3 linked regions of the Caenorhabditis elegans genome follow. The protein of the gene in region 2 interacts with the protein of the main gene of each other region in a biochemical or structural test. Each region holds a gene or a part of one and is shown on either strand. Other genes may lie near its edges. The genes, in order: stn-2, mcm-3 and lin-7.

Region 1 (11,132 bases), on a different chromosome or scaffold from region 2:
AGGATTGTTGGTTAGAGAGAAAAAATGAAGAAGACACGGTTGCTGCTGCTGATTGCTGCGTATCATTGACGTACGCGCTATTTGTAAGTTATGAGTCAGCAAATTACGATCATTTTCTTCTTGTCCGCTTCTTTTCTTCTTGTTCTGTATAGAATTTCTAGGGAACATTCACCTGAAAGTGATACCTCTTCGGACAACAATGGACAGAAAAGTAGTGTGTCTTTGAGTTTAGCTAACCTGCCGAAGCTGAGACGAACAAGAATCTTATTTGCGCATTTTTTTTGAAGGGGAAGAAGCAAGACCGAGCAAGACTAAATAAAATACTTCTATGAGTTTTCGTGCTCATTACGGTGACATCATTAACATCACGGGGTTTAACAAACAAAAAATGAGTTCTCAAGTGTATTCGGTTTAAAGCTCTTCTGGAAAATCAGGCCGGAGCTAAATAAACTTAGGAATTAATAAATAAACAGTTTTATTAACTCAAAATAAACGCGCTCTCAGATTCATTTTCTTACAACTTAGTTACACTTACTAAAAGTCTTTCAACAACGCTTAGTCTGTTTTGAGGGACGTATGTGTCTTTAACAACTATTATAGAACACTCAGGATTGTTTTCGGTAGAATAGCGTAAGTATCCTATTGTTGAATTTTTGAAACTTTTAGTCCAAACTTAAAAAACTGTTTGTCTTTCTTGATTGCAAAAATTGAAAATAAAAAAGCAGACACTAGAAGTTTGCAGGCAAACAGGCATACAGACGTTTTATATTCAATTCTTAATTATTATTCCAAAAACTCTGATATCTACAGGAATGTTAGGGCCACGACTGATAAAAGAAAAACCGGTTTCCCGGCACATGCGCAAGTCGATCGCGGACCTCGATCGGAAAGGGCTGCTGCTCATATACCATAAAACCGCTTGTATGTTCGGAAAGCAAATATCAAACTACACACGTATTAAGAAACCATATTGCCTACCGTTCTGGCGCGCAAATATCTCGTAGTGAAGGGACCTATATCTTTTTTCCGTGCAAAATGCACGTTTGCTGCCGTTTCTTTTCACACCATAAAGTAGGCATTCTTATGAACTGATGTTTTTTTAAATAATGACCTTTCATAAATTGTAATCGATAATACTGAAAGTTGAAAATTTGTCAAAATGATTGGCACGCACCAGTCTGCGGGGTGGAATACTAGTATGGAAATACGGTATTTGGAGGTGGAGATATAAAGCATCCTCGAGACGTACTCTTTCTGGGTTAGTCTCGTTTTACCGTTTTATTTAACACTCAAAATTCAATTGTACAGTTGTAAATTGCATTAGTTATGTTAAAATAAATCAATCAATCAAAGCATTCAAAAAGTAATTATATATTTAAAAACACCTACATATTAGCCAAAACAAATTTACTGTTATTTTGAAAGCAACCCTTGAAAGCAAAAGGAATTTTAAAAAATTTTAAAAAATTTTAAAACATTAAACTGTAAGCCTTAAATATTTTAAACACTCATTTCGCAACTTCTGTGTCGACAAAGAAGAAAAATAGTTGTTCACTCTCCGCAGCTTCTTGTTTTCGATTCCATTTTTCTATACTTTTCAAACTGAAAACGTTACCTCTCAGCAAACAGTATACCAAAATTTTGCAAAATTTATTTGAAAAAAAAAAGAAAATTGTAAACAAAATAAAATGTTAAAGAATATGAAACCATTGGGGAACAAAAGCATTTGGAAAATTAAACGTTTGGTTCCAATAGACACATGAACATTTAGAGAATTGATATGATGATGTTATTCCTTTCTATTTTTGATTTTTCTGAATCTGAGTCACTTCAAGATCATAACCCACGCTGATCTTCTATATTTCACATGACGGCAGTGCACATTTTTTCTCGCATCAAAAGTCGCACTTAATCACCAAAAGTACGGATTTACATAAATTCCAGAAATGGGAGGAGACACGATTGAAACAGGAGAGAAAATTCTAGATGACGGGAGTATTGGTCAGTCAAATTTTGATCAAACTGAAGCAATGTTACCCGTGAGTTTTGTTTCATTGTCCTTTTCTTTCAACAAAACTTTAAAATTTTAAGACTCCCAGTGATAAAACTGATTGGAAATCCATCTACCTAGCTGGATCATGTGCGTTCATACAAGCCACACAGTTTGCAATATTTTTCACATCTATGTATCCATATATTTTGACAGTGAGTCACATAAAGGTATTTAATTAGACTAATTTTTTTAGCTGGAACATAATGTAACGCAAACAAGTTTTGGAATTGTAGTTGCAATGTACAGCGTTTCACAAGCGATTTTTAGTCCTGTTTTTGGATTTTGGAGCAATCGAATAGGTCAAGTGAGATTTCCGTTAATAGTCGGCTTTATTGTTATGGCTTTTGGAAATATCACATATCTTAGTTTGCAATATTTGTCCAGCAATCACTTATACGTTATGATGCTGGCTAGACTCATTGCTGGAGGAGGCACAGGTGAATTTTCAAAATAAAAAATAAAAAATTGAATAAATACTCGAAATTTGTAGGAAACATGAGTTTACTTAGAGCTTATGCTTCAACAGCTTCTACTTCAAAAGATCGCTCTCGTGCTATTGCGTGTGTTTCTGGAGGAATTGCACTTGGAACCATGATGGGGCCTGGATTACAGTTACTTTTCTCTCCACTTGGAGAAAACGGAATTAACATTCTTGGGTTGAACATCAGCATTTATACCTCTCCTGCTCTTTTTTGCCTTATTCTCAATGTAACTGGGTTGCTGATCGTGAAGCTTGCTTTTGTGGAAAAATATATTATCAACCATGGTAAAAATATAGTGCAAGATGAAGAAAATGGAGAGAAAAAAGTGAGTTGAATAGTTAAAACTGTCAAGGTGAAGTAACATCAGGATTTTATAGCCATTGACCAGTATCATGAAAAACGTATTGTAAAATTTCAAATGTTTTGAAATTATTCCTTCAAAGTTGTGGTAATCTGCCGATTTCTTAAACAATTTGGTCCCTTTAAAAAATTTAAGCAAATTCACAAATTTCTCAAAATTTGCGAATTTGCGCCTAAAAATTTTTACAGTATCTAGGCGCAAATTATCAAAACTTACTATGAACATCAAAATTGTAAAAAATTTGTTTTTTTTCTGGTTTCAGCTTTAGGGGAGAACTAATAGTAAGTAATTGCCACGCTTTGCAACAGTTTTTTTGAAACTGTTCTCTATCAAGCTTGATAATTAGAAAAAAGTGGTTTTTTTTATTTTCAAAAAAATTGAAAAGGCTAAATTGATTTTAGTTTCCCCGGCAAATGAATTGCCTAGTTTATTCGAAAATTGAAAATTCAGTTTAAATCTCAACTCGGCAAAACGTCGCAACTTTATAGCAAACTCCTGCAACTTAATAAAAACATTTATATAACTTTGTAAAAAGCTGTTAAGAAGTTGCTAAAACCAACGGGATTGTGAGCGAAATTTAGCTTTACATCTGCTAAGAAATTGTAAAAGTTGTCTGAAAAGCTGCAGAAGTTTGCTTAACAGCTAAAATGCCTAATTGTTGTTAAGAAGTTGCAAGAGTATGCTATGAAGCTAGGCCGTTTTGCCGAGAACCTTTCTCTACGGTATAAACGTCTGAAAACGTGACAAGGGATGTTTCAAATTAAATTTTTTTAAAATACGATTGATAAAACCGGAAAGATGTCAATGTCTGCACGGGAATTCAAAAAAATCGCCTTTCGCATTTTTAAACACATTTGAAACAAAAAATCATAAAACATTTCCTAAAGTTTTTTGCATTCATATTTGGCCTATGAATAAAAATGAGAAAAAAAACCACAGGCAGGTCTATCAATGCATGTTTTCTAATAGGATACTAATAAAAAAGCAGGAAACAATTTTGTTTCCAGAATCCAAAAAAATTGCAAAGAATATAGTGTAGGCCTTGCTAGGCTAGATATGGCGAAATTGGTGTGTGGGGGTTTTAGTGAAATAAGAGAAAGCGGAAGACCCATCGTATTTCGCAATCGGCCTGGCAACCCTTGCACTTCGCGGTAGTTTTAATTTTCATTTTCAGATTAAAAAACTAGCCAGCCCTGACTTCATTGCAATTCTGCTATGTATTATTACTCGTTTCTCTCAAATTTTCTTAAACACTACCATCGAGAGGTAAAATAAAATTATAAAAGCTAAAAATTTTTTGTTTTAAATTACAGTATTGGGTCCGCATACACAATGATGATGTTCGGATTGGAGAAGGAAGAATCAGTTTCAATAAATGCTGGAGTTCATACCGTTGCTGGTTCCATTGCGGCATTCATGTTCATTTGTTTCATATTTACCGGAGTTCGAAGATAGTTAGTTGCATTTTAAAAAATTTATCTATAATATATATCTAAAATTTTCAGCATGAAAAACCGAGTATTCACATTTATTTCGCTGTCCATCCCGTTAGTGTGGCTCATTGCAACTTATCCATACAAGTTCTACAGTGATCATGTTCAACTTATGACAAATGGTGAGTTTATAAAGTAATTATGAAAGTTGTAACATTTAAATTTTTCAGGAAGCAATGCCAATTGTGACACTGAGAAATATTCTTGGTGTACAGATCTCACTAAAGTCAATGAATACGTAAGATCTAAGTTTCTGAAATGTATGAGTGATTTTCTTTTCAGGTATATTATATTGGATTCATTATGGTGTTTGGTGTTGCATTTTCGTTTATGAATATCACCGTTACTACACTGTTTTCCAAAGTAATAGGCCCGAGACCACAGGTATCATATTATGAGTTAATAGAATTCTAATAGTTCATATTTCAAGGGAACTTATCAAGGTGTGTACCAAATGGCCGGATCATTTGGGCGAATGCTTGCTCCACTTTTGATGAGCTACGTTTACACATTATATGGCCCTTCAATTCCATGGTTGATACTAATTGTGAACGTGAGTATTGCTGCAGTTAATTCAATAGAAACCCAAACGATTTCAGCTGGTAGTCCTTATTAGTGCGTGGATTATATTGCGTGTGAGAATGGTTCCATTCGAGAAATATGAGACGAAGAAGATTGAGCCTTTGAATTAGGCAACTCTTTACTTTGTTATTTCACCTTTGTTTGAGTTTTCGAGTACTGTTGTAAGTGCAATATTACGGCAAACAGAAACCGGTTGATTTTGACTCATCGCGTGTCTTTATCTTGTTATCGATATAATTCTTTGAGAATTAGAATTTATGATTATTGAAATAAAGGATTTTTGAAATTGACAATTTGATTGTGCCAGAAACCTGAAAAAAGTCATATGTTTTCAATGAAATTTTGATTTTTTGCATATGACTCAAAACTGGTCCATAAGTTACAGGTAGACTACGGCATGCAGATTGTTTTTATTTTTAGTTTGAAATAAAAAAATGTTGAAAACCTAGCTTTAACTCATGATTCAAATTTTGTTTTAAACAACAGTTGAACAACAACAAAAAAATATTTATGCTTTGAAAATCAAAAATCATTAGTCCTCTGCATTTCCAACATAACGATTAGCCTTCAAATAGTCTGGATCAGTGGAAACAATTCTGGCAAGAACAAAGGAATGAAGGTTGAATACAACTGTTACCACATCTTCGCATTCGATGTCCTGCAATTTGAGTACTTGACTCGGAAAGTTGCAAAACCACTAACCTTTACTTCTATTCTATCGGAATTCAATGAACGATCATCATTGAACGATAACTGGACACACAGTTTGCCATCATCAGCAACGGCTTGTAAATCTCTGAACCGATATTGCCAAATGTAACTCTAGAAATAAATTGTATCAATATCAATAACAGTTAGAAATAGTATTACCTTAGTAGGAATATCATATAGACTAATTCCCTGTTTAATGTCAAAAACGATTCCACTGGCTCTTCCTTCAAAGTTACAGGCAAACGTTCGGGACTAAAGTTAACTGTTATTGTTGTTGAATAATTTAAATAAACTTGCCTGCATTTGGGAAATGGTATTGTATACGGTTCGGTAATATGCTTGCTCAAAAAGTTCAAATGCAGATACAGCTTCAAATGACAGGTAGTGATTTGGAACTTGCAATGGAGTTTCTATTAAGAAACAATTGTCACGCTTATCTCTTCGTGGACTAGAGTTTGGGACCTGTAGATATCCCTTCTAGAATTACTACTTTTTTTGATAATCTACCTGTTTTACAGCAACATCATAACATTTGTACAAGTAGACACATTTGTTGAGATCTTCAGAGTTTAGCTGGAAAAAAAGAATCATGTAAAATAAGTTCAAAAATTAAAAAAAAAACATACCGGCGGAACATCAAAGAAGCAGACATCACTGCCTTTTAAAATCAAGAAGCGAGGTTGCCAGCGGATTTTAAGCTCTTCTTGATCATCATCATTCAAGTATTCATTCACCCAACCAATGTAGCTGATCTAAAAAACATTAATTTAAACTATTTACTGCAAAAACCGTGCATAATGTTAGTAGATTTACTAGTTGACTATTTTCTTGAATATTCAATTTTCAACAAGATAGTCGGCTTTAAAAACAACAATGTTTCCATCAAGTATCCTAAATCGAGCAGACAAAAGCAAAAATAATTGCCTCAAAATTAGATTAAGCAAAGTTTTATTCTGAATTCGTAATTTCCATTGTATTAGCTTTTAGAAAATACATCATTCGACCCATAATTCTCTGGACACCTAAAACGGCTTCATAGTCAGTAATGTTGGATCATTAATCTGATGTGTGCTGAAAACATTTAATTTTTAATTCCGATGTCGTATTTTTAACAGATGTTTCAAGGCAACCAAACGTGCCTACCAAACATTGAAGTCATATCATTGCATACTGACCTGCTCACTCTGATGCAAGTACTTGTTGCTCATTTTTATACTCTTTTGGTTGAGCGACAATATATGTTTGCTGATGTGCGAGATCCATTGTTCCAGCGCCGATGTATCTTCGCAATGCACAATTCCCGACGATCTTCCATCTACTGCACGAACTTCGAAAGAGTTTGTCCTGTAAAATTTTAGTTTTGTTGAACAAGAAATACAAAAAGCTCCCCGTTGTATGTATTCATTACGAAAATAAAATCTGAAGCAAACCTGATATTGTCGGTTCCCCAGAGGTATCTGGTGACATAAGCCATTGCCAACGGAAGAGACGTCAACGTTTTCCATTTCTTTTCCCGTCCGTCAATATGTTGTTGCCATTTCGAGTCGGAGAGTCGGGATTCGGATTGCGCTTTGTGGCTCTGAAGCAAAAACTCCAAATAATTTCAAAATGGAAGCTTAGGATTTTTTCTTACCCTTGTACTTCTTCCATCAAACAGCTGATCCAATGTTCCATCGGGTTGCAATGACTGTGCTGGTCTGAAAAGTAGTCACTCCAACGTCTCTGGTACCCCGATATAAAATCAAATGCAACTATATACTCTGCGCAAAACATTGTGTGTCCCTCGGCAGTTTGCCTACTGCGCACATTTTTGAATTTCAAATGCAGTGAAAAGCATTCATCAGGGAGGATGGCGTAAGGCTCCGCGTGCTTTGCCTCAAACCACCCCCTGCGCAGAGCTCTTCTACACTCTAATCCATCAGTTGTTTCTACTCATGTTTCTTCGTCCTTTTCCTTCTTTTTCATGCTTCTTTCTTCCACTCTTTTCAACCATACTTTTTTTGTGTGTCCTCTCGCCAAAGTAACGCCACGTCGAAAATCGAAAAAGGAAGCGGGAAATAGGAAGAAAGGCGATGCATGGGACTGACTTGAGTAGCAAATTTTTTTCGCCACAAAACCAAACTCACTTTAGAAACGGCGTCATATGGGTGAAATGGCGGACACCCAAAGTTACTTGGTCACCGCTTGATTTTAACATGTTAACCACTTCGTCGTGGCTTTGACCTGGAAGTTGATATGAAAAAATAGTCTACCGTTTTTTTTCCCTATTAGACTTGTACCATCATGCCCTTGCTTGATTTTGACAGCTTATATCTTAGTTAGTTCTTTTTGGTTTTTTTTTAATTGGCAACTGAAAAAAAATTGATTTGTTATGAAACTTAGGACGGCATATATAACCCATCCAACAGAGAAGGAGCAAGTATAATAGGGAAAGTACAGCATATGACTTGTTTTATTATTCAATACAACTTTGTTTTTTTTTTTTAAATTTTTATGTTAAATTTTTGAACGTGAATTGCCAAAAGTTATTTTGTTGCGGCTTTTATAGGCCCCATGTGAGAAGTGTGGAAAAAATGCATACATTCAAAAATTGATGGTTCCATTTTATTTCTATTATTTAAAAAAAAACTAGTTTAACTTTTTGGTCTTTGCTATGAACGCTCATTCGTTTTCAGTTCCTATTTCCCAGAGGGGAACCAAATGATTGGACTAATGAAGACTACTCGTTCTTTTTCTTCCCTCACCTTCTATGGATATTCCATTTACTTCTACGATAGCATCTCCAATAAATAGCTCTCCACATTCGTCGGCTGTAATTTAAGTATTTTTCTAGATGTTAAAATTTTAAATCTGACGATTTACCTGGCAATCCTTTGAATATTTTGGAGATTACTATTGGCATGTTTTGTGCATTTTCTGATCCTCCCTGCAATAGTTCTAAGTATTACACCGGTCCTGTTCAATTGCTCACTTTAATAGACAATCCGAACCCCGAGTCTGGTTTTTTAACTATGACAACTTGCCGAGTTGCATTTTCTAGAAATGTTTCTTTGGCTTCTTCGGGCTCCGCGGTACCATCGTCAATGACTTGAATACATAACTCATCTGCAAGAATATGTTACGATATTTCTTTTTTTGGATGACTTTTTATATAGTTTTCATGCCATTTTCATGTCATTTCTACCAAATTTTTTTTGGAGTTTTAAAAGCGCAAAGGAAGCGCAAGACAAAAACGAAGATGCGGGACCCTGACAGCTTTTTCCTCTTTTCTCAACAACTCAATTGTAGGCTAGGCACCAATTTCCGCGCCATGAGCTGCCTAATAAAGTTTTCACACGACTAGTTGAGGCCGTCATTGCACACTTTTCTTTTATTTTCGTTTTTCTCCCCCATTTCTCCTCGTTTTTCAGGCCCTTCTCGCTTTCGCAAATTGTGCGGCTTTTATAGGCCCCATGTGAGAAGTGTGGAAAAAATGCATACATTCAAAAATTGATGGTTCCATTTTATTTCTATTTCAAGTTCCATTTTAATTTCCTCTTACCTTTGGATAAAAGCAGTCGTGACGATCTAGAAGTGGCATTCCCATCACTAATGAGTACTATTCCATGATGAACCTGAAATTTTTTGTTGGAATTTGTTTCATTTAACATATTGTCAAGTCTTGTATTTCATAAGACTTCAGATTGCTGGCATGTACTATACAAAAATTAAACATGCCCATTAAAAACCAACAATTTCATAATATTTGCTAAACTTACCACATCCAGATTATGGTGTGATTTCGTAACGGACATTTAGCCTTGTTTAACAGAGAATATAAAATGTAGCAAAAATGAAGGACAATGAACTAGAGGGACTAAAGATGCGTGTGTGTGTGCCACCTCACACGAGTCAACTTTGAAGCGCCCGAGCTCCAATCTATCCTATCTGCTCATCGGAAGCGGTGTAATACACACATTACAACAGCAAAAGATGCGGAATCATAGACGAACAGCAAAAACGAGCAGTTGAAGGAAGTGAGAAACAAGATGATAAACAGCTGGTTTGAATTTTTAATATCAGAAACGAGTCATCCAATATTTTTAACATCCAACAAAGTTTTGATCATAGTCTGAAAACTGATTAAAAGATATAAAATAAGAGCTGAAATTCTGGAACTGTTGCCAAAGAGATTGCCGGAAAGGCAACCATCATTTTTCTCAATTTCTTCGCGTGCTGCTTTCTGACTGATAAAATTTTCTACACATTGTTCACAGTCACAAAGTTTTCTGTACTCTTATCATTAAGCAGCGACCATTGCTCACCCATCTCCGTTGTGGTCTAGTGGTTAGGATTTATGGCTCTCACCCATAAGGCCGGGGTTCGATTCCCCGCAACGGAATACCTTTTTGAGGAGTGACTTTTGATAAAAATTTTAACATCCCTGTTTTTTCTCCATTTGTTTATTCATATTCAACAGTTAGTGATTTTCCAAACTAATTGAAACTTTCACTGAAATCTTTTCCACATTTCTGCATGTTGTTTCCTGCAAACTAATTGATGAATATAATCAATCATTTTGACGAATTGCCGTTTTCTACTCTTATTGTCCTTTTTCCCCATTAAAACAATGGGAAAACACGCATTTTAGCGCCGTGACCCTACACTGTGTCTTCACTTCGAATGTCAATGAGCCATTGAGCTTCAATTGAGAAATGCCGTTTTGAAGATACAAAGACACATCGTTTCGCTTTCCATATTTCGAATGATGGACGATTTTCGGCGGCGCAAACACATATGAAAATGTTCCGCAACTGGCAAAAAAGAAAGGCAACGGAATATATTTCACAATCGTTGTTGTGCAAACGAGGCTGACTTTTTTGCCTTTAGTCAACTGAGTCATCAAGAGAGACTAAAATTGTGATTTTTTCTTTGAGTACATATGTGTGATCACATTTTCTCTGCTTGAAACAAACCACAAAGTGTTTTGTAGCTCTTCTTGTTATATAAATTAAAAACGGAGTACCTTCAGTAGGAAAACTGTTTAAACCCGCTCATATAGTGTCAAAAATTAAACGACAAAATACATGAACTTTAATTTTAAAAATTAGATATATATAACTGTTTTCAAAGTACGCACGTATTTTGTTATTTATTAAACCTTGTTGTGAATCATAACACCTTTTTAATTTATCAGAAATGGAAATGTTCGAAATCCTTTTGCATTTTTATTCTTGGAAAACCACTTAAACTTGAAGAGGAACACGTGTATCACGTATTATTAATATGGAAAATTTGATGGAAAAATTAGTTTATTTTTTAAAATGTGAGATTATAAAACCTAAATACCGATTATTAAATAAGTAATCTCCCATTTTCATTGAAATAGTTATATGCTGGTCTCTATTGCACTCCATTGCGCGTCATTTCCAGCGCATAGTACGCAGTACAGTCCCCGTGGTGTCTACGGT
Region 2 (10,216 bases):
TCTCAAATTCGGCCAATTTGTCCCATTCCTAGCGGCCGGAATTAATATTTATCCAATTACTGTCTCGTTTAGAGGATTTCTAAAGTTTTTACATTATTTTTCTGTTAGTTTGTACACCTATTGACTGAAAATGTGCCTAAATTATCAAAAAATTAGATATAAACGACCGAAATTTGCAAAACAAAGGAGCTTTAATACATAAATATTGATTTTTCGACCGTTGTGGCTCTGAGAGGTTGGCAAATTTGAACATTTCAGCTAAAGATAGCTGCCCAAAAAATTTGCTACTCCACTTTAGAATCAATTTCAGCCTGAAAACTTTTCAAATCCGAGGTTTTAATTTCAGTTTTCCTATTACTTTTCAACATCAAATTGCCGAGAATGTTATAGCAATAATGAAATGAAAAAAGGAAGACGAACGAACGAGAAACAACAAAAAAACTTTCACAATTTCCATTTCATTCATACCATCATCATCATCTCTTCAAACTTCCGTTTCATTCTTTCCCATTTTTTCCGGTTATTGTTGTCTGTGTGTGTGTGGTGATGTAATAGTTCTACTACAATAATTCGTTCTTCTTCTTTTCTCACTTTTCCCACCACATTCACAATCACACCTAATCCAATTTATTGATTTTCAGCAAAAAACTCTCAATGAGGGAGTTCAAAGTGGTCGTTCTGGGTAGTGGAGGTGTCGGAAAATCGGCGTTGACGGTGCAATTTGTCAGTAGCACATTCATCGAGAAGTATGATCCGACGATTGAGGACTTTTATCGCAAGGAAATTGAAGTGAGAGCGATTCATTTTATTTTAAATTTAAAAAAAAAAAAAGAAAATTCGGTTGAAATCATGGCGCTTGAAATTTTCAGAATGGTTTAAAGTTTCTAAAAATTCATTAAAACATTATATTAAGCTTTGAAATTGAAAGATTTTAGAACTCCCATTACTTGCTCCCTGAGAAAAAGAATTTTACAGTTTTTTCCTACAATATTTGATTTTGTAGCATTTTTACTACTTCTTCATGTATTTAAAGCTATAAAAGTTCTTGTTTATAGGATTTTTGGGGATTCTATGTGTTTTTCGGCGAAAGTCTAAAAATTATCGGTTTCAGTAGTTTTTAATCAAAAAATCATCAGTTTTCTTGTAAAAAACTGGAAAAAAGAGAAAATCTGTTGAATACCGAACGAATTTGCAAAAAAAGTCAAAAATCGAGCATTTTAACGAAAAACTGTAAACTCCTTCTCCTCGGGGAGTACACGAGCGATCGTAGCTTCAAAATTGCTTTAGAATTTTAATTTTCCCAAAACTCCCTTTTAAATGTTAGAAACTAGTAAAAAATAGTGCAAAAGCGTTTTAAAAATCTAAATTTGGAGAAATTCGCCGAAAAATTGCCGAAACTAGTCATATATATTCTAAAATCCAAGAAAAAGGAAAATTAGACTGAATATTCGTAAAATCTGGTAAATTCGAGCCAAATAATCTGGAAATTAATAGAAACCGAGTAATAAGTTCAAAAAAACAATTAATTTGGGTAATTTTAAGCAAAATAAATTTAAAAAACTACGGAAAACAGAAAAATTAGAATGAAAACAATCAATTTCCAGGTGGACGGTCAACCATCAGTACTGGAAATTCTGGACACTGCAGGAACGGAACAATTTTCTTCGATGCGGGATCTTTATATCAAAAATGGACAGGTAAATCTTGAATTTTAATTAATTATCTAAAAATTATTTTTAATTTATTTTCAGGGCTTCGTTGTTGTCTACTCGATCACCAGTCAACAGACGTTTCATGATATTCGAAATATGAAAGAGCAAATTGTCAGGGTTAAGGTTGGCTTTTAACTTTAAAAATGTATTGAAAAATTGTGAATTCACTAAAATCAATTTCTTCAGGGATCCGAAAATGTGCCGATTTTGTTAGTTGGAAACAAATGCGATCTTTCACATCAGAGACAAGTACGATCAGAGGAAGGATTGGCGTTGGGTGAGACTTTTTTAATTTGAAAAATCAAATTTAAATTTTAAAAAAATATACGAAAAACTGATATTTTGAAAAGAAAAATAGCCGCAGAACCTCTTACACAGCTTTGTGTCGATTTACGCAGCTCGTGTACTCCTCGAGGAAAAGGCTTTTACAGTTTTTGGCGAAAATTCTTGAATTTACGCTATTTACGGCAATTTGTCAATCTATTTTTCATTCATTGTGTTTCAGGTGAAAATAAACATATTTTTCTGCAATTTTTAATTGCAAACACAACGATTTTCGCCTGAACCACTGCCAAAAAGAGTTAGATTCAATGTATTTGGATCGGAGAACTGCAAAAAAAAACAAAAATTTTGCTAGTTTTTCAACAAGGAATACAATTATTTTCACTCTAAACAATGTGAAGCTCTCCTCCTCGGGGAGTACAGCTTCGTAAATCATTGCATGGCCATGGTCAAAAAATATTTTGTTAATCGGAAAACGAAAGCTTTCGATTTCCAGAAAATTCAAAACACAAAGTTTTTAACATTTTATCAAATTTTGTTTGGGAAAAAAGTTTATTTTAATAATACAATTTACTTCTAAAAAGAAAGAAATTTTAAAGTCATTTTCTGGAAAAATCGATTTTTTTTCAAAATAGAAAGTGATACAATTTTCAAATAAAACATTATTCAAATAATTAATTTTGAAATTTCAGCCGAAAGTTGGTCATGTCCATTCACTGAATGTTCCGCAAAAAACAATCAAAATGTGAATGTCACATTTGCGGAAATCGTACGAGAAATGAATTATGTGCAGAATAAATCAAGACAAAGCAAATCATGTTGCTCTCTGATGTGACCCGAAGCTTCATCCCCCATCCCAAACATCCCATCCCATCCATTCTCCCTGTTTTATGATCTTTTACCCCTCCATATACCCCATTCAATCGATTCGTTGGGATTCACAAAATTGCTCATTTTATATCCATATTTGCACATGTAAATCGTCCACGGTCGTGTCACTTTCTATTTAAACCTGCGAGAAATTCGATGGCGAAAATTCGAATTTCAATCAATTTGTAGATTTTTTACGGGCTCACATTTTCTCTTTTTTTCCCCCATTTTTTTGTCAATTTTTGATTGATTTGCATGACTTTCCTTCTTTTTTTTCCACCCAACCCCTTTCCATACAATTTTCGTGTGCTATGAACATGATGAACTTGCTCCAATTTTTTCCCGATTTATTTCACTAAAAAAAAACAACCTACTGATGTTTTACAACGAATTCAAAAGCCAAAAATGGCACAAAAACTTAAATTAAATTTTTTGGAATTAGAAAATTAAAAAGTAGGAAATTGCAGGAACGACGATGGAGATGAGAATCGAGAAGCTCGTTGGACTGGAATTACAGTAATCTCCATTGCAAGTGTAGCATTGTCCGGTTCCACCTTGGGCTTGGCATTGCGTCTGGAAATTAATTTTTGCACGAAAAAATATATAAATTTATTTTTACTTACCATAAGCTGAGTACAGGCGACCAGGGCATTTCCAGGATCATTACATCCTTTAGTGGTCTGACGGACTGAAAATTCAGATTTTACAGATAATTTCCAGGCTTAAAACTCACATTTCTTCGGATTGTTCACTTTACAGTCGAACTTCATGCAGGTGTAGATGTTTCCCGGGCAGACTTGAGTGAACGCATTGAGAATACTATTTTGGACGAAGCATGTTGTGGATTCTGAAAAAAAGTCAATGTTCCAAAGCTCCAAGGTCTCGCCACGAAAGAAATATTTGCAAATCGTGAAAGGTACGCGCCTTTAAGCGGTACAGTAACGACTTTTTTTTTCAGATTTTTCGGTTTATTTTCAACTTAGTTTTCAAATAAACATTTTTGAACCCTGGAAAAACTGTACCTCTTAAAGGCGCACACCAAGCCCCTTAGATCAGATCTCGACACTACCCATTATTAAATTTGCAAAAGTGTTTGCGCCTTTGAAGAGTACGGTAGTTTCTAACTTTTCTCAGAACAGTTTTCTCCTGTTTTCTAAAAATTGTTTCATTCTCAAGTAATTTCACTTGTGTAATTATCATTTTTTGATACTTAAAAAACGGAAGAAAAAACTATAGCAACTAAATAAAGAAAACCCGGAAACAATCTGAATACTACAGTACTCCTTAAAGGTGCACACTCGTTTGAAGAATAGTAAGCTAATAGATTTTGTCTTAAAAAAGTCGTTTCGAGACCCGGTACAGTACTCTTGGAGGCAACACGTTCAAAATTTCGCCAGTCCTGTTATAAATCTAGATTCAATTCTCACCTGTCTCTGAAATCCAGAGTACCAGAATCGAGATTGCGAGTAGAAGTTTCATGGTTTCGTATTCGTATCGTATTGCGAATATAAAACGAAAAAGCACAGAAAAAATAGCTTTGTGAATGAATGAATGAGTGAAGGCCCGAGCGGCGGCGGGAGGGTCCGATAGATGTTGTTTCAAACGGTTTCCAATGGTTTCCAGCACGCGGTGCGCTCAAGTTTCTAGGAGACAAAGTCAAAGCACTTAAAGCTTTACGGCATAAATTTTGTGTATATGTGTGCTTTTGTGACCACTTTCTTCCCATTTCTATGTATAAATGTATTACGAAAGGTGCGTCCTGGGGGAGGCAGGGAGAAAATAAGAAAGATGGGATGAATAGAATGGAAAAGCATCTGTGTCTGTGAGTTTGTGAGTACTGAAACAATAGATTCCATTTTTGTGATTTGTTATGAAAAATTGAGGAGATTTTTGGAAGAGATCTTTTGCATAGATCACGGGCACAAATGTTATTGATGTTTTTTGAAACTTGAAATGACAATTTTGAACTGATAATTTCAGACAATTTTCATTTTATTCCAGGCATTTTTATTTAAATAAAATTATTTCGCTATTAATAGCTATTTAAAATAAACATGTTCAAACATCACTTTCAGGTGCATTGAGTGCAGCGTTGCGTCATGGTGTTTACGGAGCGAGCGCGCGAAACCTTGCTGTTTGAATGAGAAATGCGCGAATTTGGGCCGAATTTTTCTATTTTCCCCGCTCTTCTCCGTGCTTTCTAGTTTCTATTCGTTTATTTTTTAATTTTAAGTTTCTTTTGTTAAAAACATCTTATTTTCAGAAAAAATGGACGGACAAGCTGATGGAATGTTCATTGATCGTGCCGAGGATGCTCGAAAACAAGAAATCACGGAGCAGTATCTCAACTTTTTGGACAATCAAGCCGACACTTTTCACTATCGTCAGAAAATTGTGAAAATGATGAATGATGGAGAAAGTCGTTTGGTGATGAATCTCGATGAAATCAGGGAAATTCTACCAGAAAGAGCTGAAGGGTAATTAATAAAAAATAAAGAATTCCCGAGTATTAAAGTTTTCAGGCTATTGACCCAAAGCGTTCTTGAGATGAATTGCTTACAATCTGCACTTCAAATGGCTATTAATCGTAGTGATGTTCAAGCTGTTGTCAAAACGTGAGTAGCTTTTAAAAGCCGTTTTTGTTTTTAAACAATTTGTATTTTCAGTGGATTCCACGTCGGCTTTGAAGGAACTTTCGGAGAGCGCCACGTCAATCCACGTACTCTCAAATCATCATATCTTGGAAACCTTGTCTGCTGTGAGGGAATCGTCACAAAGTGTTCAACTGTTCGTCAAAAACTTCTCACTTCTGTCCACTATTGTCCAGCAACAAATAAAGTGCTCGAGAAGAAATTTGCCGATTTCACTATGCTCGACACTGCAGTCACCAATAACAACTATCCAACAGAAGATGAAAATAAGAATCCTCTTGAAACAGAATTCGGACATTCAGTTTACAAGGATCATCAAACGTTCACAATTCAAGAGCTTCCAGAATCCGCACCAGCCGGTCAACTTCCTCGGGCCGTCGATTGTGTTGCTGATCTTGATTTGGCAGATCGCGTCAAGCCTGGAGATCGTGTCCGCATCATTGGAGTCTTCCGTGTTCTGCCGAATAAGCAGAATGGAGTTTCGTCTGGATCCTTCCGTTCGATCATCATCATTAATCATATTCAAATGCTTTCAAAGGAGGTTATTCCAAACTTTGAGCCACAAGATGTTAAAGATGTTCGTAAAATTTCAAAGTCAAGAAACCCATTTGAGCTGCTCGCTCGGTCACTTGCTCCATCAATTTGCGGCCACGAAGAGACAAAGAAAGCGTTGCTCTGTTTGTTGCTAGGTGGAATGGAAAAGATTCTGAACAATGGTTCTCGTTTGAGGGGAGATATCAATGTTCTTCTCATCGGAGATCCATCTGTTGCCAAGTCTCAACTGCTTCGATATGTTCTTCGTATGGCCCCAAGAGCTATCACCACAACTGGACGTGGATCTTCGGGTGTTGGACTTACTGCTGCTGTTACTACTGATCCTGATTCGGGAGAACGTCGTCTTGAAGCTGGAGCAATGGTTCTCGCCGATCGTGGTGTCGTTTGTATTGATGAATTTGACAAGATGTCTGATATTGATAGAACTGCAATCCACGAAGTTATGGAACAGGGACGTGTCACAATTTCGAAGGCTGGAATCCACGCGAAGCTGAATGCTCGTTGCTCGGTTCTGGCTGCAGCAAATCCGGTGTACGGACGATACAATCCATTCAAATCTCCAATGGAAAACATCGGAATGCAAGATTCACTCCTCTCGCGTTTCGATTTGATCTTTGTACTTCTTGATGAGCATGATGCGGACAAGGACGCTAATGTCGCTGAACATGTGCTCAAGCTTCACACTTACAGAACCCAAGGTGAAGCCGATGGAACTGTTCTTCCGATGGGTGGAGGTGTTGAGACGATCAGTACAATCAATATGGAGACTAAGAAGGCGAGCAGCTCGATCTATGAGGAAAATACCCAATGGGCTGGTATTCAAGAGTGAGTTTCTTTTATAAAAAAACAATATAAATTAATTAATTTCTCTATTTCAGCACGAAAATCCTGACAATGGACTTCATGAGAAAGTACATCCATTTGGCAAGATCAGTTCAACCAAAACTCACCGATGAAGCTACTGAGTACATTTCTGAAGTATATGCCGATATTCGTTCATTTGATATCACCAAAACTGATCAAGAACGAACAATGCCTGTCACCGCTCGTCAACTCGAAACATTGATTCGTTTGTCAACTGCTATCGCGAAGGCAAGATTCTCGAAAAAAGTCGAACGAGAGGATACTGAGAAAGCTTACAATCTGCTCCACTTTGCCTGTTTCAAGGAGAAGCCAAAGGCTCGTCAAGAGTATGAGAAGAAGAAGCGAGCTCCACGAATTGATGGTGACGATGATGAGGATCAGAGCGATAACGAGGACATGGCAACATCGGAAGAGCCTCAATCTAGCTCCGTTCCGACTGCAGCCACCCCGCGTCGTGGAGTCAGAAGGCGTGCTGAAGATGATGATAGCCAGGATTCTATGATGGATACTACCATTGGAGAAAGTCAGCCAACTGCTAAGAAAGCACGTACTGGACCGGCTGCCATCGGAGTTGATCGTTATAAGGAGCTTCGGAAGTACGTCAGAAAGGCGTTCGACGACATTGGAAGCACCGACGATATGGTTGAACTTCAAATTATCACAGACAGTAAGCAAATGTTTCATTAAAAATGTTTATTACAAAAATGTTTTCAGGTGTTCAAACTCAAGCCGGATCACACAAGTTCACTGAGGATGAGCTGAAGGCTGGATACGAACAATTGGAAAACGATAACGCTGCAATGATTGCCGAAGATAAGATCACTCTCATCTAATTTCCTGCTGGAAGCTGGAACATAAGCCCCGTTTTCTTTTCGATCTCTCAATCAAATCATTATTTTATCCTTTTTTTCACCTGATTATCATTCCTATTTCATTTTAACTAGGGTCTCCTAATCCACTCACATTGATTTTACATTGCCTATTGTACTATGTTGTCTCTCTCTTTTCTCTTTATTCCTCCCCCTATTATATCTCTTTATCAATCGCGTAACCGGATAAAAGAAGTACTCTTGGTCATTGATTCTTTGTGGAGACTGTCTGAACGCCGGTCGACATGCGAGCCTTCTTTCCACGTTTCGCTGCCTTCTCCTGTCGATACTGAATTCCGGTACATCCGAGTCGATGGTCACCAACCAACGGAATGGTGTTCGCTTGAACCGCTTTGCAACGATTTGTGTCAGGGAATTCCATTGGCTTCAATTCGATTCTCACATGAATTTCCTGGAAAACAATTATTTGGAAAGGAATGAGAAAGTGGAAACATACCTCATTTTTCTTGAACAAAACTACATTCGTCTCTCGGATATTTCGAGTTTTTATTCCTTTCAGCGCCTCCAAAATTTTTTGCTCAATTGTTGGAATTTCATTCCAATTAACACGAATTTCAATCGATTGTTGAACGGAAGAAGACGTCATTTTTTAGATTCGAAGATATAGGAAATACATTTTTTTGGAACGATTTATTAGCTTTTTTTATTTTGAAATGTTTTTCAGCGTGAACAAAAAAATATAGAAACCCGCTTAATAAATATGAGAAATTAATTATTTTCGAATTAATTTAACAGTTTGCATTTGTCCTGTGCAGTTGTGTGACACGGAACGGAGAAGAGCTCGCCGGGACAATCCAATCAACTTCACAAATCACCTGATTTCGTGATTCGATCAATTTATCGATATCATACACGGAATTCCGATCGAAAACGTTTAAATCGTTTCCATTTGGGAAGAGGGCGCCGGCGATTGCAATTGTTCCCATTAAATCCACGTTTCGAATTATTACGGTTATTGAGTTTGGAGTGGGTCCGGGTGTCGACTGAATTAGAGAATTCGGAGAGCATAATTCCAGAATTGAATGCTGAAAATGTTATTGTTAAATCGTAAAACATTTAATTCGGAAAGCAATGGGTCTCGCCACGATTTTCGAAATTTTGCTATTTGCAAAAAAGGCCTTTAAGAAGTACAGCAACCAGTTTCTCCATTTTCTTGTTAACTTTTTTGTTGAAAACCTATAGAAACGAAAAATACATGTTTTTATATACTTGAATACAGTTGTGACGTAATTTTTCTACACTTTTTAATTTTCCGACATTACTTGAATAACCCCATTACAGTAGTCCTTTGAATACGCACACCTCTTTTCGTGAATTCTGTTTGAAAATACATCATTCGTGGCCAGATTTAAATATACTATTTTGAGAATTTTCCCGCAAAAATAAAAAAAAAAGCTTGCAGATTCATTGGCCGGAAAATTATAACTACAAAAAAACCAAATCCTATTCCATTTTTGCAATCATAACACGATGCCCGGTCTCGCCACGACAAATTTTTGTTCCATGTGAAGAGGTGTGCGCCTTTAAATATTACAGTAATTTTACATGTTTTCTGTTCGAAGCTGCATTGCCCTTTAAAGGCGCACACCTTTATGCATCTAACAAAAATTTGTCGTGGCGAGACCAGGTACCGTATTTTTAAAGCAAATTTTCACAACTGGCCGAGAAAATGAAGAAAAAAAACTCGGTCATCAATCAAATTCCCACCTTTTCAAATCGTTTCATAAAAACGATATTATCCTTGTACATTGTGGCGTCGGCCATTATGAACTGTGAAAATGGGAATAAATTCAAATTTCCTGAGAACTGAGGCTGTGATGACGTCACCACTACAAATTTTATTTTCTTTGCTGGAGCACCATATGATGCCAAATCTGAAAACATTATTAAATGAGCCGAATGGAAATAGTGAAACAAACTTTTTGAGATTTGTTTTTTCTGAGACGGCAGCCCGGTATCTACCACAAAAACGCATGCACCATCCCGAACGAGAACAGAATTTGTATGAAGTTTCAGAGAGTTTGAGTAGTTTCCACGGCTTAACGACGGGATTGTGAGCATTTGAAGAACAACGTTGGATTTCTGGAAAAAAAAAACCGAAATGTATCAGATTTTACGCGCAAAAAAATTCTTAGAAACCCATACTTTCACCGGTTGCCGTTTTCTCGTAGTTGTAACCGTCGTGGTCGTGGTCTTCGGAGTCGTTAGAATTACTTGATTTTTGAAAGCAGCATCACTTTCTAGTTGTTCTAAATTTCCAGATTTAAGACAATTCTTCTACCACAGCTAACCTTTCGAACTCCTGATATAGACACTATAGTCGTAATGTGATTGCCTTGGATAAAAGTTCCAGTTCTCTGGATATGATTGCTTATTCTGATTACCAACCAAC
Region 3 (10,174 bases), on a different chromosome or scaffold from region 2:
TAATTGTTGAAAATTGAAATAATATTCGAAATATCGGAAAATCGAAAATGGAAATTTTTCGATTTTTTAAAAAATTTTACAGTACGGTATTTAAACATTTTCAAAGTTTCCAGTTAACAGTGCTGCACAGCAGCTCAGGTTCAGGGTCGACTACAAACCTTCATGACTTCATCAATATATTCTTCAACTTCTGCCATCCGGGTCTCTCCGCAATAATTAATCAAAAAATTCGCGTACGCTTCTAACGTCATTCCAAAAAGTGCAATCGGGTCGGTGTACATTGGTCCAAACGTATCGACAGTGTGTCGGTCTTCGACAAGAGCTCCGTGAGCAACACTGAAACATTTTTCTAAACTTTTTTAAATACTTTATACAACAAACCTAAACTTTTTCATATGCTCTTCCATAACCTTCATTTGTCTTCTCACACAATGCTTGAAACCACTTTCCGCGCTTTCGAGATCACCTCGATGTGCCAAGATGTCGGCAAGTTTCAGAGAAACTCCGATAAACTCCGGGTCAAAATCTTTTTTTCCGTGAAGCTGAACGAGGCGCTGAATTACAATTCGAAAATATTTATCGGCTTCGTCCAAATTCATTTTCTCGTAAAAAGTATTGGCCATTTCATCGTAGACTCGTGTGATTGGCATATCTTCTTTCCGCTCTTCAGCCTCCTCTAGTGCCAGTTGTAGTACTTGAATTGCATCGTCGTACTGGCGTCGTTTCCGGTAAAGCCAAGACTGGAAAAAGAGGAGGGTCTCGCGAGGAAAATGTTTCTGTACAATTACCTGTTTAACCTTCTCTTTCAATGGATCAGCATCCAGCTGCACCTTCTCAATGCCCAACACATCCTTGATAGTTGTCATCCATGAGAGAGCGAGTACTGTAGTTCCGCCGGTCGCTGCACTTTTTCCATATCTACTGAAATATTGATCTTAAGAATTTTTAACTCAATTTAATTTATTTACGTATGCGTAGAATGCGTATTACACAACATATTTGCCGAGCAAAATATCTCGTTGGGAAAATTACAGTAATTCTTTAAATGACTATAGTATACTGTAGCGCTTGTGTCGATTTTCGGGCTCAATTTTCGCTATATTCCATTTCCTTCGTTTCTTCGTATTATTTTCTCATATTTTGCTTAATTTCAATATTCTATCGATAAATAAACGATTTAAATTAATTTCGAAAATCGAGCCCATAAATCGATACAAGCGCTGCAGTAGTCATTTAAAAAAATTGCTGTATTTTTCCCTACGAGATATTTTGTGTCGAATACGTCGAATATGTTGCGCGATACGCATTCTCGGAATTTTGTGTGCTTAAAAAAGAATCTGAAAAAAATTTGTTTCCAAAAAACTCACGACCATCTCCCGCCACCGTTGGTTTTTCCACCGCTGCCCCCATGACGATGATGCTGCTGTCGTGACCGCCCCGAGCTATGATGCTGACGTGTAGTCCCGGTGGAGAAGGCGGCCGCCACAGGACGGACCGTAGACGTACATAACTTGGACATGGATGGCAGCATCTGCATTTTTTTCAGGTTTAGGAGACATTTGAATAAAGTGAATCATTATTAAATAGAAAATACGGTGGGAAACCGGAGGGAATTGTAAAAAACAAAAAAAAATATCTGAAAATCTTATTAATAATTTACGAATTTAACCCGACTCAAACAACGATCTCAAAAAATTGTCTACTACTACAAAATCACTAAATAATAACTAGAAAAAAATTCCTAAAGATAAAATTAATAATTACAGAAAAAATACAGGGACAAAGGGAAAATTTAATCCATTTTCGGCGCAAAACTTGATCCACAAGAGCATCCTTTTTCGGCAATCGGATTATTGACAATTCGAAATGAAGATTTCATTAAATCTTCCACGAAATCCACGGTGGCGCCTTTGAGAAAGCCAAGGGAGAGCTGAAAATTACAATTTTTAAAAACACAGAAAAATTGAATGCTTTAAATTTTTGTTACACGAAAATAGATTTTTCTAATAAACTTTTTTAATTGTTTTTCTTATTTTAACATTTTTCAGAAAATTTTTTTTGAATCGAAAAAATTGCCTTTTGGGCGAAATTTTCTAAACCGTTGTTTTTAATTTTAAAATTTTTCGGCAAAGTTTAGAAAAAAACCGAAAAAATTGACTTTTGTGAGAAATTTTTTTTGAATATTCGCTACGATTTTTCTCATCAATTTTAACATTTTTTACACGTTTTCACCTCATCCACCACAATTTCAGCTCCATTCTCTGATGATTTCCATAATAAATCGTCGTTGTTAATTTTTTTGTCCAATCGAATTTTATACTCAAATCCCGAGCATCCACCTCCATCCACCTCAAGTCGTAGGCGTTCTCCGTTATCAACGACTTCCTTGAAGAATTAATTTTTTAAATTAAGGTTTTTTTCTAGTCATTGAAAAAAATTGAATTTTCGAACAATATTCACAAAATTTTTTAACTTTCTTTTTTGAAAATCGGGGTTTCTCTGAAAAGCACTACAAATCAAAAGTATACAATTTTTTTGTAAAAAAAACACCGGAAATTAAATGCTTTGAAAAACTTTGAAAAATAGGAAAGTGCCGATTTTTTTCCGAAAAAAAAAACTGGAAAATCGAAATTTCTCGTTTTTCCATTTACAATATTTCTAATTTTCAAAAAAATTGGGCGCCCAAGGACAGACTAACTTTAAGCCTGCTCGCTGCCTTATTCGTCACTTTAATCTCTTGCTCGGTGAGCATCCGATGAGCCTGTCGGGTTACTGTACAAGCCATTAGTCTGCCGATTTTTTGTGTGAGCATTTCGAGAAAATTCTGAAAAAAAAATCTGAAAAAAGTTGAATTTTACATCAAAAAGATAGATTTTCGTGATTTTTGAAACATGGAAAATATTTTTTTAAAAATGCCGAAAAATGAAAAAAAATTATTTTAAAAATTTAGTTATTAAAGATACATGGAGAAAAGCACCTATTTGAAAGAACGTAAGGCAAAGCAAGATTATTAAAGCAATTTTTGGGCAATAATTTGGGGAGAGGGTGAGTGTTGAGATTAACATTGTTTTGGAAATTTGTCTGAAAACGGAAAAAGAGATAATAATGTACATATAGGGATATCTAAAAATCTAGAACAAAGAATAGAAGAGAAGAAGTTAGAAATGAGTATACATGAACTGGAAAAAAATAGAAAAAATAGGGATTTTATGGTGGAAAATGCAAACTTTTCAGCGAAAATTTCAGTTTCAAGAAAAGATCTTTCAATATTGCTACAAAAGTTCTATTTTCTCGGCTAAACTAATCAATGTTTGCAGAAAAATGCGAACTCTTGCAGTAAAACATTGAGGCCACACGAAAAGGGGAGCAGAACGAAAAGGGGATCTGCAAAAAGGGGATCTGCGAAAAGGGGAGATACGAAAAGGGGAGCAACGAAAAGGGGATCTGGCACTGTGCCAAGCGCTATTTTTCTCGAAGAAAACGATACAACGATGCTCCGATGTTACGCGTCGCGTGTTGTTAAGCGTATCTTCTAGAAGAAAATTTCAAAAATCAACGTGCGTTGCGTGAGAAAAATTGCGTTTTGTGCGTTTGGCACAGTGCCAGCTCCCCTTTTCGTTGCTCCCCTTTTCGTATCTCCCCTTTTCGCAGATCCCCTTTTTGCAGATCCCCTTTTTGCAGATCCCCTTTTCGTTTTGCTCCCCTTTTCGTGGGGCCTCAAAACATTTTGATGCAAAAATTTTAGAAATATTGTTTTAATGTCCATTATCTATATTACGGGAGCACATGAATGCGTATTGCACAACATAATTGACGCGCAAAATATCTCGAAGAGAAAACCACAGTAATTTTATAAAGTACTACTGTAGCGCTGGTGTCGATTTACGGACATCATTTGAAAACATAAAAAAGACAACAAAAAAAAAAACGAAAAACCAATTCGAACACAAATTTGTATAAAAAATAAAAATATATTTTTTTGTTTGTTTTTTTGTTGTCTTTTTTTTGTGTTTTCTTTCGATATTTCATCGATTAATAAATGATGTCCGTAAATCGAAACAAGCGCTACAGTAATATTTTAAAGAGTTACTGTAGTTTTCGCTACGAGATATTTTGCGCGTCAATTATGTTGCGCAGTACGCATTCTCGAAATTTAGTGTTCCCGTAACATTTAGTTTTGTTGTGGCTTTTTTCGTATTTTTTCCAAAAATTCTCGAATTCTTGATTTCTACAAATGTTCCGTCTTTTTTATCTTCGTGGATTTGTCGAAGAAGACGGCGTCGGGAGTGTTGGACTCTGCTGAGTGGATCGAATTCTCTGTCTTTCGAATCTCCGCTCCATTTCATCCAGGAGTTTCGGCATATAACGGATCACTAGCTTTACACTTCCGACTGCGGATTTCAGAAGATCAACTGCTTTTTCGTGGCATTCGGCTTCCACGTTCTGAAATTTTTTTAAAGTTATTTTTTTGAATCAAAGTTTTTTTTCTAATTCGAGTTATATTCTTCTACTAATTAAAAGTGTAGTTGTTTTCAATTTTAAAAAATGAGAATAAATTGTTCATTTTTTCGAAAAAAAATATTAAGAAAAATTTATAATGTTCTTTTATATGGAAATCTTCGTAAACCGAAAAATTCTGTCTTTTATTACTGGTTCCTTTACTTTTTTCCGGTTTATTTTCTGAAAAACACTAAAAATCTGAAATCTTCGATAAAAAAACACTTAAATTAAAGTAAGTTTCGTTTTTTGCTTAAAAAAATGAATTTTTAGATTTTTTTTTCATTGAAAAACATTGAAAAATCAATATTTTTCGATGTTTTTTTTCCGAAAAAAACTAAAAAAAAATTGAATTAAACATTTAACCCACCACTCCGTTGACCGCAATAAGTTGATCGCCTCGTTTGAGACCTCCGTGTCTGTCGGCTACGCCACCAGGGATTATTCTGCAATTCAAATCGTTTTTTTTAAATTATAAAATCATTAAATATTTTTATATCTGCACCTGGAGATGTAAATCGGTGAATTTTGCTCCTTGCCGCCCATAACATTGAATCCAAGCCCTTGATCGGTTTTTGGGAGCTCAACGATACGTGGATGCGCGTGGCCTTCGGCTGCAGCAAACGCCGCCACTGTTGCTTTAGCTGTTGCGGCGGCTTTTATCTGAAAAATGTTTAGTGTTTTTTTTTGTTTTCTGTTGTTCAAAAACGGCTCAAAATTATTTCGAAAAATAAAAAAACTACAATTTGAAATTTCGACAACTTTTAATTATCAAGGTTGGCGGCAATTGTCGCTCGGCTTTTTTTTTGCCAAATTCGGCAAATTGCCGATTTGCCATAATTTGCATTTCCGGCAATTTGCCGATTTGCCGAAAATTTTGATTTTCGCCGAACTACCGATTTTCCGGAATTTTTTGTAGGGATTTTCATTATACGGAAACACTTAAAACTGTGCCTTTTTGAATTTTTTAAAATTTAAATTTTGAAAATTCCAAAAAAAATGTGCAAAACCACAATTTGCAGATATGGCGGAAGTATTAATTCGGACAGTTTGCCAATTTGCCGGAATTATCAATTCCGACAATAAGCCGATTTTCCAGGAATTTGAATTCCGGCAATATGCCGATTTGCCGGAAATTTCAATTCCGGCATTTTTGTCAGTTTTATCAAAAAAAACTGAACCTCTGGCGTTGTATCCGCATCAATTGATTCATAAACAGTCTCATAGACCTCTCGGACGGCACCGAAAAATTCGGATTGTAGCACCTGCTGCAGCGATGCCAATTTTGCATTATTGACCTCTCCAGTCTTCTGAACGTGCTCCATGAGCTCTAGAATACGCTGAACGTCCCGCTCCAAATTCGGACCATCCGGGTTATCCATCTGGAAGATTTGGTTGGAAAGGAGGGGAAAAATAGGACGGAAATAGGTAAAAATGGCAAGAAAACCAATTAAAAATTACAAAATTAAGCTATCCAGAGCGGAAAAACATTATTTACTATTCTAATTGACCATAGCCCGTCAGAAAATTATTAAACACAACAAAACCAAAAAAAAAATCGACAAAAAATTAAATTTAAATTTCATGTCGCAGCGTGTGCTTCTGAGACAATTCCAGCGGAATCACATTGAACGTCATTTTGTACAAATCCACGTCTTTCCTATACTCGTATCCCTTCATCTCCTCAATTTCATAGTCCGGATCGCATTTTTCCTGGGAGATACGAACGATTCCGTCGCAATGGGCACGCAGAAGACGTTCTCCGCGATCGTTTTCATAGTAAACCTGAATAACTTCTCAATAATCAAAGATATTTGATAATAAATCTTACATTTAACCCTGGATGATAATTCATTTTGAATTGATTCACCAGCAAATCGTCTTTTCGCACAACTTCTCCGTCTTTCCGGAAAATTCCACGGAACGGGAGATTCTTTGGTGGTCGTAGAAGTCCGCGAATTTGTTGAAAACTACCGGTGAATCCCTTGAGGCCCATCTGAATATTTAAATTTGAATTTAGATAATTTTAATTGTTAAATTATAATTTTGAGTTGCATTGCATCACTAGAAAGATATTTTATTGAAAATTAACGTTTTTCAGCATTATTTAATGCTTTTTAACGATTTAAACAATTTTCTCATTTAATTTATTGATAAAATATTGAGAAATGTTTAATTTTAAGCATAAAATGAATAAATCCTGCTCCGGAAAGTCCGATAAATGCTTAATTGTTTTGGAGACTACGGTCAACATTTTTTGTACGCAGTACGCAACGTGTACTGCAGACCGTAGTCGAGAAAACCTGCGCATCTAACTGTCTTCCTCGCGCCAATTTTGTTTCGAAATTTCTTTTTTGGCTGTTTTTCGTGTTACTTTTTGCCGGATTTTTGCCGTTTTTATATGATAGAAATATTATGTTTTGTGTCAAAATAGGTAAATTTTCCATATAAAACCTGATGATTCAAAAAATTTTGTGAATTTGAAGTCCAAAAATGTGGAATTTCAAGCCGACACTCACGAAAAATTTTCACATTGTGCATACGTTATAGTTTTTAGAATACAGAAAAAAACAATATAGTATTTCTGAGTGTCGCATTTTTGAGTGGTTTGTATATTAGTATATTTTCTTGCAATTTAAATGTAATTTTCGAACTTTTTTTTCGAGATTGGAACATATTTTTACCTTCTGCAAAAATATTCTGTTCTTTTTACGTTTCCCGAACTTAATAATTGTTTTTCAGAACCAATCCAAACAATCCGCAGCAATGGGAAAGCGAAAGTCGAAGAGAAAGGCTCCAACCAAGGCAAAGGCTGTAATGCCACTCGACACCCAATTCAACTGTCCGTTTTGCAATCATGAACGCGTTTGTGAAGTGAAAATGTACTTTCTAAGGAAAATCGTTTCAAAAAAAAACGTAATAATTTTCCAGGGATCGCGAAAAGAATGTCGGTTATATCTCGTGTCGTGTCTGCTCTGAAGACTTCCAAACAAACATCAACTACCTCTCCGAGCCAATCGACGTCTATTCTGATTGGGTGGATGCCTGTGAGCAGGCAAATAACGCCTGAATATTCCCCATCCGTCAATCTTAAATTCTTATACGACCTCCTTATAAGCCTCCAAAATCCCCATCGCGTTGATCTCTTTGCTTTTCTCAGTAATTCTATTTCCTTCTATCCCCAATTCATCCACACACTTTCTGGATCATCATTGCAGCACGCCTCGAAAACCGGTCCTTCAATTCTCACGAGAATGGTATCCTCGAGCTCGTTTTTGTGTGTAAATAACCAAATCAGCACATCACCATTTTTTGTACAATACTTTATTTTTCATCATTTTGTTTCAAATTTCTTTGGCTCAAAGCTATATAAAAAGTTGAACTTAAAAATCAAAAATGGTAAGTTAGCTAGAAATGCAACAAGGAAATACATGCAATATTCTGAATTCTAAAAAAAAGGAAAATATCATCCCTCGATAGTATTAAGTTTTACACATGCTTCAATCAGGCAACCGACGGACCACGCCTGGGCAGCACAACTCTGCATACAGTATTCTCCATCAGCATTTGTCAGTTCCGGTAGTGACCTCCATGGTGATGAAATGATGTGCTTGTAAGCATTGCCGAGTCGCTCCTGGACTTGCCGGATCGCATACTGCTTTTCGGATCCTCCGAGGATATCACCGATTCTCAGCCGAGCTTGGAGATAATACCCGGCGACGAAGAGCCATTCAGGGCCCTGATGATAATTCCATCCTTTTGCCGTCTTCTTGTCAGTCCCATCATCATCATTGTTGTAGTAGCCGTTGTAAGCCCAATCTGTTGGATCAAGGGTCTTCATTCCAAGTGGTCCAAGAAGAACTTCAGCTGAATCCAATGCCTTCCATGCTTTCTTAGGATCCATAAGATCTGGAGCAACTGCTAATGCAATTCCAAAGTTGCAACGAAGCTGGAAGTCGGTGAATCCTAGTGTGGAACCGACAGAATCCTTGATGATCTCCCGACGATTTACAAACTCCGCATAGGAATCTTTATCAACAAAGAACTCCTTCTCAAAGTTTTCTCGGATCTTCTGAGCCCAGAAGCCCCACGTCCACTCGTCGCTAACTCCGGATCTCTGGATCACACCTTGCTCCTTCCAATTCTTCAAGCTTTTCAGTGCTCTGTAGGCAAGTCCCTGTAGCTCGACGGCCGCTCCATCTCTCGGCGTCGCGGGTTCTCCTTTATTTCCGGCTCTTTCACTACTTCCCATCTTGTCCATCCATGTTCCACAATTCCAGCGATTACCGCCGTAGATGAAGCCTGTGGTGCGAGAGACGCCGGCGGTCACCTGGAATAGAGGACGTTGTCAAAAAAATTATTTGAAGAACGAAAATGTTTGATTTTATTTTGTTCGTTTTCCCCCGAGAATTTGAAAGTTTTTGTTTTTGGAAAATCAAAAACGAAATGTTACGATTTTTCGGTATTCCGAGAATCAAAAAAGAGATTTTTTTCAGAAAATCGAAGAAATTTTTTTTTTAATTCTATTTTTTTGGTTGTTTTTTTCAGAATATTTTTTGTCGATTTCCAGTACATAAAAAAAAGGAAAAAATATTTTTTAAATTAGCAAACTAGTTCAGAATTATTTCAAAATTTTGCTTAAATTTGTTTACCAGAAAAAAATTTCAATTGGTTTTCGAAATTGAAAAAACAAAAACTGTACCTGGAATCCCTCATCTCTCATTTGTTCGTCGATTTGTGGTCCGGCACTTCTCTCCCTGTAGTCAATCCCAGCGAAATGCTTGTCAAGTGCCTCATAAATAGTTTCAATAAGCATCTGTTGCACTTCTCCCTCTCCATAGACACTATCATCATTCGGGTAGATTCTGCGCACTGGATCCTCAAGAATCCCGACTCCATTTGGCGCCGATTCCACGTATTTCACAATCGAAACCAGCCAGAACCACGTGGCATCTCTACAATTATATCTGGCACCAATTCCCTCGGCTAGAAGATTCGGTATGAGTCCATGACGAATAGCGCCGGCAAATGAGAGAATGATTTGACGGGCTTCCTGGAATCGGCCAGTTGATAAAAGGCATCCCGGCAAGGCGATAAATGTGTCACGACCCCAATTTCTCCAGATTCCAACAGCAAAGTGGGATAGCCCGGCGGCCAAACTTGATGGATACTGATCTTCAATTTGGAGGGAAGTCGGAATCGGTGCGAGACCGGCTCCAGGAATGTATCCAAGGAATGAGAGAGTTGAGATGGCCAAGTGTCGGACTAACGCGGATGACGAGGAGATTTGCCTGAAAGAATAACGAAATTAAATTTTCATAAAAATGTGTTTTTTCTGAAATTTATTTTTTTCAAATTCTCGGTTTTTTTGTTTTTAGAAAATCGAAAAAGCGCAAATGTTCGGTTTTTTATCAGTATATCGAAAAATTCCATCTTCTAAATAGTTTTTCGAGAAATTGTCATTTTTGCATACGCCGACTCAATTTTTTACTTAATTCCGATTGGAAAACAAATCAACATTTTTGAAAAAAACATTTAAAAATACGAAATTTCCTTTACAATGGTGATAATTACGGTAAAATTCAGTTTTTTGGAAAATAAAGGCCATAAAATCATAAGTTTACCACGAAAATTCAAAATTTACAAGTTTAAAAAAATTTTTCGATTTTTCCAGAAA

The links.
Region 1: the proteins of mcm-3 (region 2) and stn-2 form a complex in vitro, tested with the Caenorhabditis elegans proteins (one study listed by BioGRID).
Region 3: the proteins of mcm-3 (region 2) and lin-7 form a complex in vitro, tested with the Caenorhabditis elegans proteins (one study listed by BioGRID).

The regions. Positions count from the first base shown.
Region 1 is NC_003284.9:7,671,049-7,682,180, forward strand, and holds stn-2 (PDZ domain-containing protein), read right to left. Parts: upstream 9,572-11,132; 5' UTR 9,477-9,571; coding exon 9,441-9,476; intron 9,297-9,440; coding exon 9,224-9,296; intron 8,788-9,223; coding exon 8,654-8,787; intron 8,609-8,653; coding exon 8,545-8,608; intron 8,493-8,544; coding exon 8,427-8,492; intron 7,906-8,426; coding exon 7,809-7,905; intron 7,380-7,808; coding exon 7,316-7,379; intron 7,262-7,315; coding exon 7,113-7,261; intron 7,027-7,112; coding exon 6,858-7,026; intron 6,435-6,857; coding exon 6,309-6,434; intron 6,256-6,308; coding exon 6,190-6,255; intron 6,145-6,189; coding exon 5,980-6,144; intron 5,935-5,979; coding exon 5,842-5,934; intron 5,794-5,841; coding exon 5,674-5,793; intron 5,630-5,673; coding exon 5,504-5,629; 3' UTR 5,463-5,503; downstream 1-5,462. Other genes in the region: mfsd-8.5 (Major facilitator superfamily (MFS) profile domain-containing protein), read left to right, coding at 1,947-2,039, 2,092-2,205, 2,247-2,490, 2,544-2,860, 4,071-4,162, 4,210-4,350, 4,402-4,511, 4,560-4,627 and 3 more.
Region 2 is NC_003283.11:15,054,511-15,064,726, reverse strand, and holds mcm-3 (DNA replication licensing factor MCM3), read left to right. Parts: upstream 1-5,127; 5' UTR 5,128-5,132; coding exon 5,133-5,341; intron 5,342-5,386; coding exon 5,387-5,479; intron 5,480-5,530; coding exon 5,531-6,895; intron 6,896-6,948; coding exon 6,949-7,601; intron 7,602-7,648; coding exon 7,649-7,767; 3' UTR 7,768-8,008; downstream 8,009-10,216. Other genes in the region: rap-2 (small monomeric GTPase), read left to right, coding at 655-789, 1,605-1,697, 1,752-1,835, 1,899-1,989, 2,687-2,829; nssp-71 (neuronal small secreted protein), read right to left, coding at 3,303-3,437, 3,488-3,552, 3,598-3,711, 4,292-4,343; C25D7.16 (40S ribosomal protein S20), read right to left, coding at 8,009-8,215, 8,261-8,410; C25D7.5 (Metallo-beta-lactamase domain-containing protein), read right to left, coding at 8,553-8,849, 9,532-9,698, 9,744-9,906, 9,970-10,073, 10,116-10,216.
Region 3 is NC_003280.10:14,342,914-14,353,087, forward strand, and holds lin-7 (Protein lin-7 homolog), read right to left. Parts: upstream 5,880-10,174; coding exon 5,679-5,879; intron 5,161-5,678; coding exon 5,003-5,160; intron 4,944-5,002; coding exon 4,868-4,943; intron 4,444-4,867; coding exon 4,249-4,443; 3' UTR 2,931-4,248; downstream 1-2,930. Other genes in the region: ddl-3 (TPR_REGION domain-containing protein), read right to left, coding at 159-336, 382-740, 789-921, 1,368-1,531; Y54G11A.9 (Core domain-containing protein), read right to left, coding at 1,793-1,930, 2,233-2,385, 2,699-2,812; Y54G11A.17 (L51_S25_CI-B8 domain-containing protein), read right to left, coding at 6,073-6,282, 6,329-6,493; elof-1 (Transcription elongation factor 1 homolog), read left to right, coding at 7,264-7,379, 7,429-7,567; agl-1 (Glycogen debranching enzyme), read right to left, coding at 7,964-8,827, 9,200-9,788.